Linked DNA regions of Rattus norvegicus. The protein of the gene in region 2 purifies or fractionates together with the protein of the main gene of each other region. This does not show direct contact. Links are inferred from orthologs where the notes say so. Each region holds a gene or a part of one and is shown on either strand. Other genes may lie near its edges. The genes, in order: Cd9 and Itga3.

Region 1 (3,806 bases), on a different chromosome or scaffold from region 2:
GGCAGTGTGCAAGGTCCCAGGTGCCTGTAGCTGTGAGAGCTAGGGGATTTTGTTCCCTCTCTGATCTGGCTTTTGTCTCGCTGCCACTTGAGGAAAGGGGCCCCTGGGAGGAATGCTGCTAAATTCACCCAAGCTAGGCCTTGTGGGTATTTGTCTAAGCAGCAGGGCAGGGTGCCAGAGGGTTGCTTCAAAGTTTACCTTAACCTGGAAGGATTCCAGAACCTGCTTTTTGGGGCAGATGTCCGAGATAAACTGCTCCACACCACCAGCTATGCCACAGCAGTTCAACTGAAGAGAGACGGCAGGGAGGAGGGATGAGAAAAACAAAAAGGTAGTTAAAAGAGGCATGCCAGCCCCGTGTAGAAATACCCAAGTGTGGATACCCTGCAGGGATGTACCGGAGGGGTCAGCGGTTTCCGCTACAGAGGTGACCTACCGCCATATGGATGGCTTTGAGTGTTTCCCGCTGGGGCTCATCCTTGTTCCTTAACTTTTGGTAGGTGTCCTTGTAAAACTCCTGGAGTTCTTTAATCACCTACAAGGGACAGACAAAGGAGCAGAGATGGGTTTCTCAGAAACTGCTTCACGGATACTCTTCAAGCACTTGGCTAACTGCCACCGTACCGCCTTTCTCGGCACCATTCCTGCTTCGACCTCCAAAGTGCCCAGGTTACAGGAGTCTGCCATCTTGCCTGGGTTTCTTTTGAGGTGGTGGTGTGGTACTGGGGATCCCCGGCCTCTATCCCTTCGTAAATTCTTTTATCAGTTGGATAGATTTTTGAAAACAGGGATCCCACCTCGATGCCCCTGGGCTTCTTCTCTCATTGAAGAATGTTAGAGGCCCTGCCTCTAAATGCTGCACTGGTGTGTTCCAGTCCGGCCTACACGTCCTGAGAGTTCACCAGAGAAACTTAAACTCACACGCTTGGCCCCTTCTGTCGCCCAGAAGGTCCCCACTCCTCCCGTTTCCTCCCAAGACGCCCCATCTCATTCATGGTCTAGATCCACAGTCCTTTCTTTACAATCTTTTTAAATCTCAAGGGTTTTGGTTTTTTTTTTTTGGTTATAAATGACTAGTGTGACGTTTGTCAAACATCTTTCTCCCACCATACTAGATGGCAAAGTTCCTCAAGGTGTGGGACCTGGAAATACTCGGGGACCTTGCATAGCATCTGGTGTGGTGTTTGTAGCACGTATTTACGGATTAGAGAAAGGGAGTCTCTGCTGATTACAGAAAGCCATGGTGTTCTGAGCAACCTTTCGGGGAGTAGTGGGGGAGGGCTGTTTGGCTGTGATTGTCAGGCACGAAGATGGGTTCATCACACACAAATGGTTTCCAAAGTGAGTAATAGTTCTGAATGGTTACCATGTGCTGGCCACACAGGGCAGGCTAGCCCCACAATCCCAGTCCCACCGACTGTGTGTCCTGCTCTTATATGGGAACACACTGAATGCTGAGGGGAAAACCAAGCAAGTGACTAGCCTGGACCCTTCGATCTTTGTCAACCCTCTTCCTAGCTCAGAACCTCAAATCGCTGTAGGACCCAAGCATTCTTAGGGGAAACACCTACCTCGTCCTTGTGGGTATAGCCCCAGACGGCTGCGGCGATCTCAATGGCGAATATCACCAAGAGGAATCCGAAGAACTAGAAGACACAGGGGATGTGGTGAGAGGGACTCCAGCAAGCCAGTCAGGGACACCAAAGGGATGTAGAGCAGTTAGCATGCGGGTGGCACAGATGAACAGGCAGGAAGAGGGTGACCAAAAAGCAGAGAGCCCATGGCATTCCGGGGGGAAAATGTGATCCGTTGACCCTAAACTGGTGCTTGGGGTGTTATTTGGAGTCTGGCAGCAATAAAACACCACCGCCCACACACACCGAGCATGAGGGCACAAAGGCAGCACATTCACTCTGTGGCATTTGGGCATGAGGGAAACAATTTTTGAAACAGGAAGGAGAGAAGGCAAAAGGACCTGTGGACTTGGGGGAAGGGGAGAGTAAACATGGCCTTTGAGAAAGGCAGAAATGGAGTCCTGGCATTTAGCTACCTAGAAGGTGGGAGCCAGGCAGACAGGGCTGGGCCTGAGGTACCGATACTGAAAGGCTGAGCAAAGCCCAGCAGCCTAGGCCCTTTCCTTACTCCACTTGTTCTACCCATCCTGTGCACTGGGCCTGGTGACATTTTGGGAAAGGACGGGATTAAGGGTAAGACAGGCTGGAGACTGGGAGTACAGAAGGAATACTCACCAATCCCAGCATGCACTGTGACTCTTGTACAGCTCCACAGCAGCCCAGGAAACCAACTAGCATCATGAGGGCCCCAGCTCCAATCAGAATGTACACTCCTGAAGGGAGGAGAGGGGAAAAAGACACAAGGTTGCAAACGTCAGTGTGGAGGCCCAGGCCTCTTCCTCTTAGAGCTTTCATCATGCCTCCTTGTTGATAGCTTCCGCTCCAGGGAAGGAGACCTTTTTTTTAACAAAACAGCGTGCTCCACCTTGCCCTCTGGTTCCCCTCCCCTCCCTCTCCCCCAGAACTCTGCTCCACCACATCAACAATCTACCTTATCCTTGGGCCCGAGGACAGAACTCTCTGATTCTTAGGAGACAATCCCTGGCTCAGTCTGCTACTTTCTTCCCAACAGGATAATGCACTTGAGCTAAATTACTGAGACCTCTCAAACTACGGTTTGGGACTTGAGAATACCATCGATCCCTCCAGAAATCCTTTCTGCACACCGCCAGGCTGGCAAGAGGAGTTTTTCTTGTTCTAGTACAAATGGCACATGAGTGGGCATCAAATCAGAAGAGCTTTGTCTTGGTTCCAACATTGCTACTATCTGCTGGGTGTCTTTAGTTAGACTGCATTTGTGGGGTAGAGAGAAGGCTCAGTGGCTAAGAGTACTTGTGTAATTAATCATGGGAACCAGAGCGCTTATAAAAATGCCTGAAACTTCAGCTCCCAGGATCTAATTGATGCCCTCTTTGCAGGCACCTTGCACTGCGCGCGCACGCACACACACACACACACACACACACACACACACACACACACACACACACACACATGTGCTTGTCATGAAATCCTGTCAGTCCATCTGGAAAAAAATCTTATGGTTGGAATGAAGTTACTCTAGATTAAGGGTGAAAGGATTCATCACACTATGGAGAGTGGGTGACATCGTGCCTTCAGCCTTCAATGGGAGTGGTTGCTGGGGAGGAGGCAGAGAGGGTTAAGACCCCTGAAGTCTTGCCTACACCCAGACAGTGCAAATCCCTGGATCTGGAACCAGAGTAGACCAGCCCTGGATACATTTATTCCAGATCACCACGGCTATGCCCAGAGTCTAACCTGCAGTGACACTCTTGAGAAGCCATAGTTGCTGAGCAGGACTACCTTTGTGAAGCCCCCTTCTGTCCTAAGAGAGGTTGTAGTGCTTTCCATACGTATTGTATTTTAATATTCATTCTTAAGCTATGTATATGTCTCTGTTGATATATGTGCTTATGAATGCAGCTGCCCTTGGAGACTGGAAGAGGGCGCTGCAGCCCCTGGAGCTAGAGTTCCAGGCAGTTGCGAGCCACCCAACATATGTGCTAGGAATTGAACTTGGGTCCCTCTGCACAAGCACTACACAATGCCTCCCGTCTTGCTACCATGCTCTCGCCAACCTTGAGAAGGCTACAGTGACATATCAAGAGCCTCATCTTTAAAGCCCAGAATGCGTGGGTGGATATATGTTGAGGAAACGGGGCTCTTCAGTAAGTTCTGGCTGGCCTGAAACACTATGTAGATTGTCCTGGC
Region 2 (4,326 bases):
CGTCATACACTACTACCACCTGACTGCCCCGGATTCTTACTATCAGATAGATACTGAGTTCTGCAAACCTGGGTCATGGGTGGGGTACCCCAGGATAGAGATAAAGAGTCTATCTGGGACTTTTAATCACTTCTGGACCAAACTCTTTGAGAACATAGAAGCTATGCTTTCTCCTCCCTGATCTCCCAGGGACTATGCACAAACCCATGATTGTGCAAATAGGGCTCTCTGAAAGCTGGCAGACCCCAAAGGACTGGAGCCACCCACCGCACTCTTCCAAGGAGCCTTAGAGGATGACAGAATCTGAAGTTGCAGTTTGACGTATTGGTTCCCTCGAACACAGGCAGCTGTTCACATCTGGCTACACAGCTGGCTACAGTGAATCCCAGCTGCTTCCTTCCCAAAAGGACGGAGAGCTGAACTCAGTAAGATGAAGACAGAACCAAGACACAGAAGCAGCTCTGGACAAAGACAGAGAAGACCCATCTGGCCAGAACCACCTGCTCTCAGAGATCCGTGAGTTTCGGCCTTCTCTGCAGCTGCCTGGAGAGGAAAACAGAAGCCTTTCCCATGGCCAACTTGGGGAGGACCTGTAGGTTCAAGAAGTACACCTCCACCCAGTCTCAGCCCCAGAGCCTACTGGTGTCCACCGGGGGACTGGACACACCAGAACCATTCTAGACACACCATCACACTAACGTATTTCTAACTCTAAGAAGGTGTGTTCTCCAGGACCAGGGAAACTAAGGCCCAGGAGTTAGAACCAGAGGCAAGACACGGCAGTGGTACTGGAACACTCAGCTTCTCTCTCTACAAAGCCAAGGTGCCTCTCAGAGGCCAGCAGAGATAAGAGAGCGAATACAGACCCAGGTACAACCGCATCCAGGGGGAAACTGGCCCCTGAGAGGGCAATATCGCCCTCAAGGTCACAGAGCAGAGGGAGAGGGGTTGCAGAATTTCTTCTACTGTGTCAGTTCCCACCATGCACATTCAACATCAGAACATCTGAAAACTCTGTACTGGGCTAGGGGAGGCAACCAACGGCATTGCTGTAGCCACTATCTATTACCAGAGGGCCTCAGAACGGTAGAAGGTTAAATCTGCCTGGCCAGGGCAGGAAGGGTGTGGTTGATCCACCTTCTTCTTCGGCAGGGGCCAGGTAGGGTAGAGACTAAGTCCAGGTGGCCAGTACAGACAGGGGCTGGGCCAGCAGGGCAGAGGCAAAGACAGAAGTGGAGTTGGACTTTGAACATTCCAAACTTCCTCAAGTTTCTACAGGCTCCAGCCAGCCTAGGGAGAGGTTTCGATATTTTTACCTTGACAGTGTCTTCTGATTTAGTAACTGTCAGAGGCCAGGTAGGAGTAAACGCCTTGCCAGGCCACCCAGCTCAAAAAGGTAGGAGGGTCTTATATGATCATCACTGGCCCTCCCGAGGTCGTTTTGCCTCCTCTGATCACCCTCTTCCCTCAGCAAGCCTACCTCAGCACACAGAACCCATGCAGAGAAACCTCAGACACCTGGACATGACCGGTTGGGCATGAGTGTGCCTAGGGAGGGGCAGGTGACTGGATGCAATCTCCTCCCCTCCTCCACTCTGCCTGGCTCTCTGAGCTTCTTGCAGCTGTTGCAAGGAAGAGCAGAAGAAAAGAGAAAACACCATTTCCCTCTTCAAACCAAAACAAACACACTCGGGGCTGCTGATTCAACATGAATCCGTGGAATGCAGGGAGATGACTGGTGGGAGGACCCCACCGCTTCCGGTGGGCTCTGGCCTCGGAGGCTTAGGACAGCGCCTCCTCTGTCTTCTACTGTCCGTCCCTCTAGGGGTCAGAGGGAGCCTCTGGACAGCTCCGAACGCCCAGCCTCTTCATCACCTCATTCTCCAATGCCAAACCCTTGAGAAGTGTGGTCCAGCCTGGTTCTGCAGAGGGCGTGGCTGCTCTGGCCACAGACTAAATGAGAGGGCTAATAGGGGCTTGAACGCATACATTCTCGGGTTCTCTACGGGAGGAGGGGAAGAGAGATGTAATAGGTGTTTAATGTACAACGTTCTCCCAGCCCAGGAAAGAAGCTAATGTTAAGTACTGGATTCTCAGGGTGCTGGGTAACAAAGACCCTACTTCCGAAGATGTCTGAAGCGTGGAGCGGCCGCGTCTAGACAGGTTCTGGCCAGGTCAGCACTTGCCATGATTACTCCCCCCGCCCCCCATCCTCCACTTGCCGCCAAGCCCCACAATCGGAGGGCTGCCGTCGTACCCGCCCTCTTAATCCTGGCTCACAAGGAAAGGCCAGCAACAGCAGGCCTGGAAATCGGCGGGCCCAGGACTCCATTTCAGCTTAGGTCAGGTATCCGCGCACATACCCTTCTCTCTGCACCCCACCTCACCGCCTCAAGGCTCACTTACAGGTAGCGCTGCTGTCGCTCAGTCTGCCGATGGAGGGCGACGGAGTAGCCAAAGAGGCTACCAGGGTTCACCGCCTCCTTCACCACCAGGAATTTGGTGTCCAGGTTGAAAGCGAAGGCGACCCGGCCACTAGCCGCCACCATCAAAGCCAGGGCGCGGAGCATCCAGCCAGGGTCGCGGGGCACGCGGCGCGGGCCAGGGCCCATGGCTGCGGGCCGGGCTGAACCGAGCCCGGCGAAATCGCTAGAGGGCTCAGCACCGGGAAGTGATGAACGGTTCACCTGCTCCAGGCGCCGCCAGAGGACACCCGAGCCCGCAGAGCCGCTGCGCCGGGACTCCGGCAATTTTTTTGCCCTAGTCCAGGTCAGTCTCACGTCTGCTCCGGGTTGGTGCTTCTCCAGTCTTTTTTCCAGATCCGTGTATCTACTCTCCGGTTGGTCCGATGGACCGGTCACCGATCCGGGCTCCGGGCACCCTGCACCCTAGATGGTCCGGGCCGCGCCCCCTTGGAGGTGTTAGCTCTTTAGATCTCGGCTAGGTGGAGGATCTAGAAAGGCAAATCCGCGATCGCTAGGAAGGCAGGAGGGAGGGATCCTCCCCGGCGCGCGCCCCGCCTCCCCACCGCCTAGCCCCGCACCTCCCCACCTTGCGCGCCCAGCCCGGGCTCCGCTTTCCTTCCGGGGAAAGAGAAAAGGTCCCCGCTCGGCCGCCGCCTCTTAAAGGGGCAGCGCTGCCCCTCCCTCTCCATCATTCCTATCGCGACTCCGCCCTCTCTCTCAGACACCTGTCGGGAACCCTTAAAGCCTGGATTTCCCCGGTCTAGCAGCAAGCTTCTTCCTAGGAACGTCGCCTTCAGCACAAGACGGATTGGACGGGCGGGGCCAGAGGTGGGATTTGCCTGGCGCTCCGCGGAGGCTGCAACTAGAAAGGCCGTTCTAGGCACCGCCAGCACCGCTGTCCCGGCTGGGCATACCAGGCATTGGCTCTTCGGGGGGGAATGATCGTCTGCGTTCGGCTGCCTGGAATGCGGACCTCCCCAGCACTGCGAGTCGCTAAAGAGGTGACTGTGGGTCTCCGGACTAAACTTCTTCGTTCTAAGTGACCTCAATGTTATGTCATTGTATGAAGGAGTATTTCTCCTGTCCACCCGCCTCCTCTCATCCTGATCCCAGCTGGAAGCGGCTCCTCCGCAGAGCCAGACAGATAAATAGCGGTGCTGATGACAGCCCATCAGCAATTGTAATTGGCAAAGGGCAATCTTTGTCTCTAAAAGCAGTGAATGGGATCTCAACTCTCACGGTTGTGATACCAGGTGAAGGGGTGGAGACAGGCGGGGTAGGCTCAAAGATCTCACTATCAGGGAAAGAAACTGAAAGGGAACTCAACGAGATCATTACGGAATTTTTTTTTTCTTAGTCAGATTTCCTCTAATGCAGAACAAAGACTCATTTTCCCTGAGCACCTTTTTCTGTGTTTTTATAATTAAGCAAGAACAGCATATGCAGCAGACACTATGCTAACTGCTTTACAAATACAACTTTTCCAAGGTAATATACATATATACAAGTCTCTATTCACACACACACACACACACACACACACACACACACACACACACACAATCACCAGTCATATACATACAGTAAGGAAAAGAGAAAGCTGAAAATAGGGCAAAAATGGACCCATCCAATGGGATTCTGCTCTGGTGTTTGAGAAGCCAGTGCGATCTGGGTCTGATTCCCTATCTATACAGAGGACCTTAGAAGGTAAGATTGCTTCCACGCGGAGGATTGAAGCTGCATTCGAAGGTGCAGCTCTTAGAGACCTTGCTGTCCTTTTGCCAATGACAATTATGGAAAGTTTGTCCTTGCCACCACTATGTAAATCCATGGCTGTACCTGTTATTCTGTTTACATATGG

Evidence for each region.
Region 1: the proteins of Itga3 (region 2) and Cd9 purify together in Homo sapiens (affinity purification with western blotting; 3 studies listed by BioGRID and IntAct, with this or other methods). This does not show direct contact. The link is inferred for Rattus norvegicus from reciprocal best matches to the Homo sapiens genes ITGA3 and CD9.

Annotation. Positions count from the first base shown.
Region 1 is NC_086022.1:159,944,106-159,947,911, forward strand, and holds part of Cd9 (CD9 antigen), read right to left. Parts: intron 2,348-3,806; coding exon 2,250-2,347; intron 1,647-2,249; coding exon 1,572-1,646; intron 536-1,571; coding exon 437-535; intron 289-436; coding exon 199-288; intron 1-198. UniProt on the Homo sapiens protein: Integral membrane protein associated with integrins, which regulates different processes, such as sperm-egg fusion, platelet activation and aggregation, and cell adhesion.
Region 2 is NC_086028.1:80,515,864-80,520,189, forward strand, and holds the start of Itga3 (integrin alpha-3), read right to left. Parts: upstream 3,039-4,326; 5' UTR 2,613-3,038; coding exon 2,407-2,612; intron 1-2,406.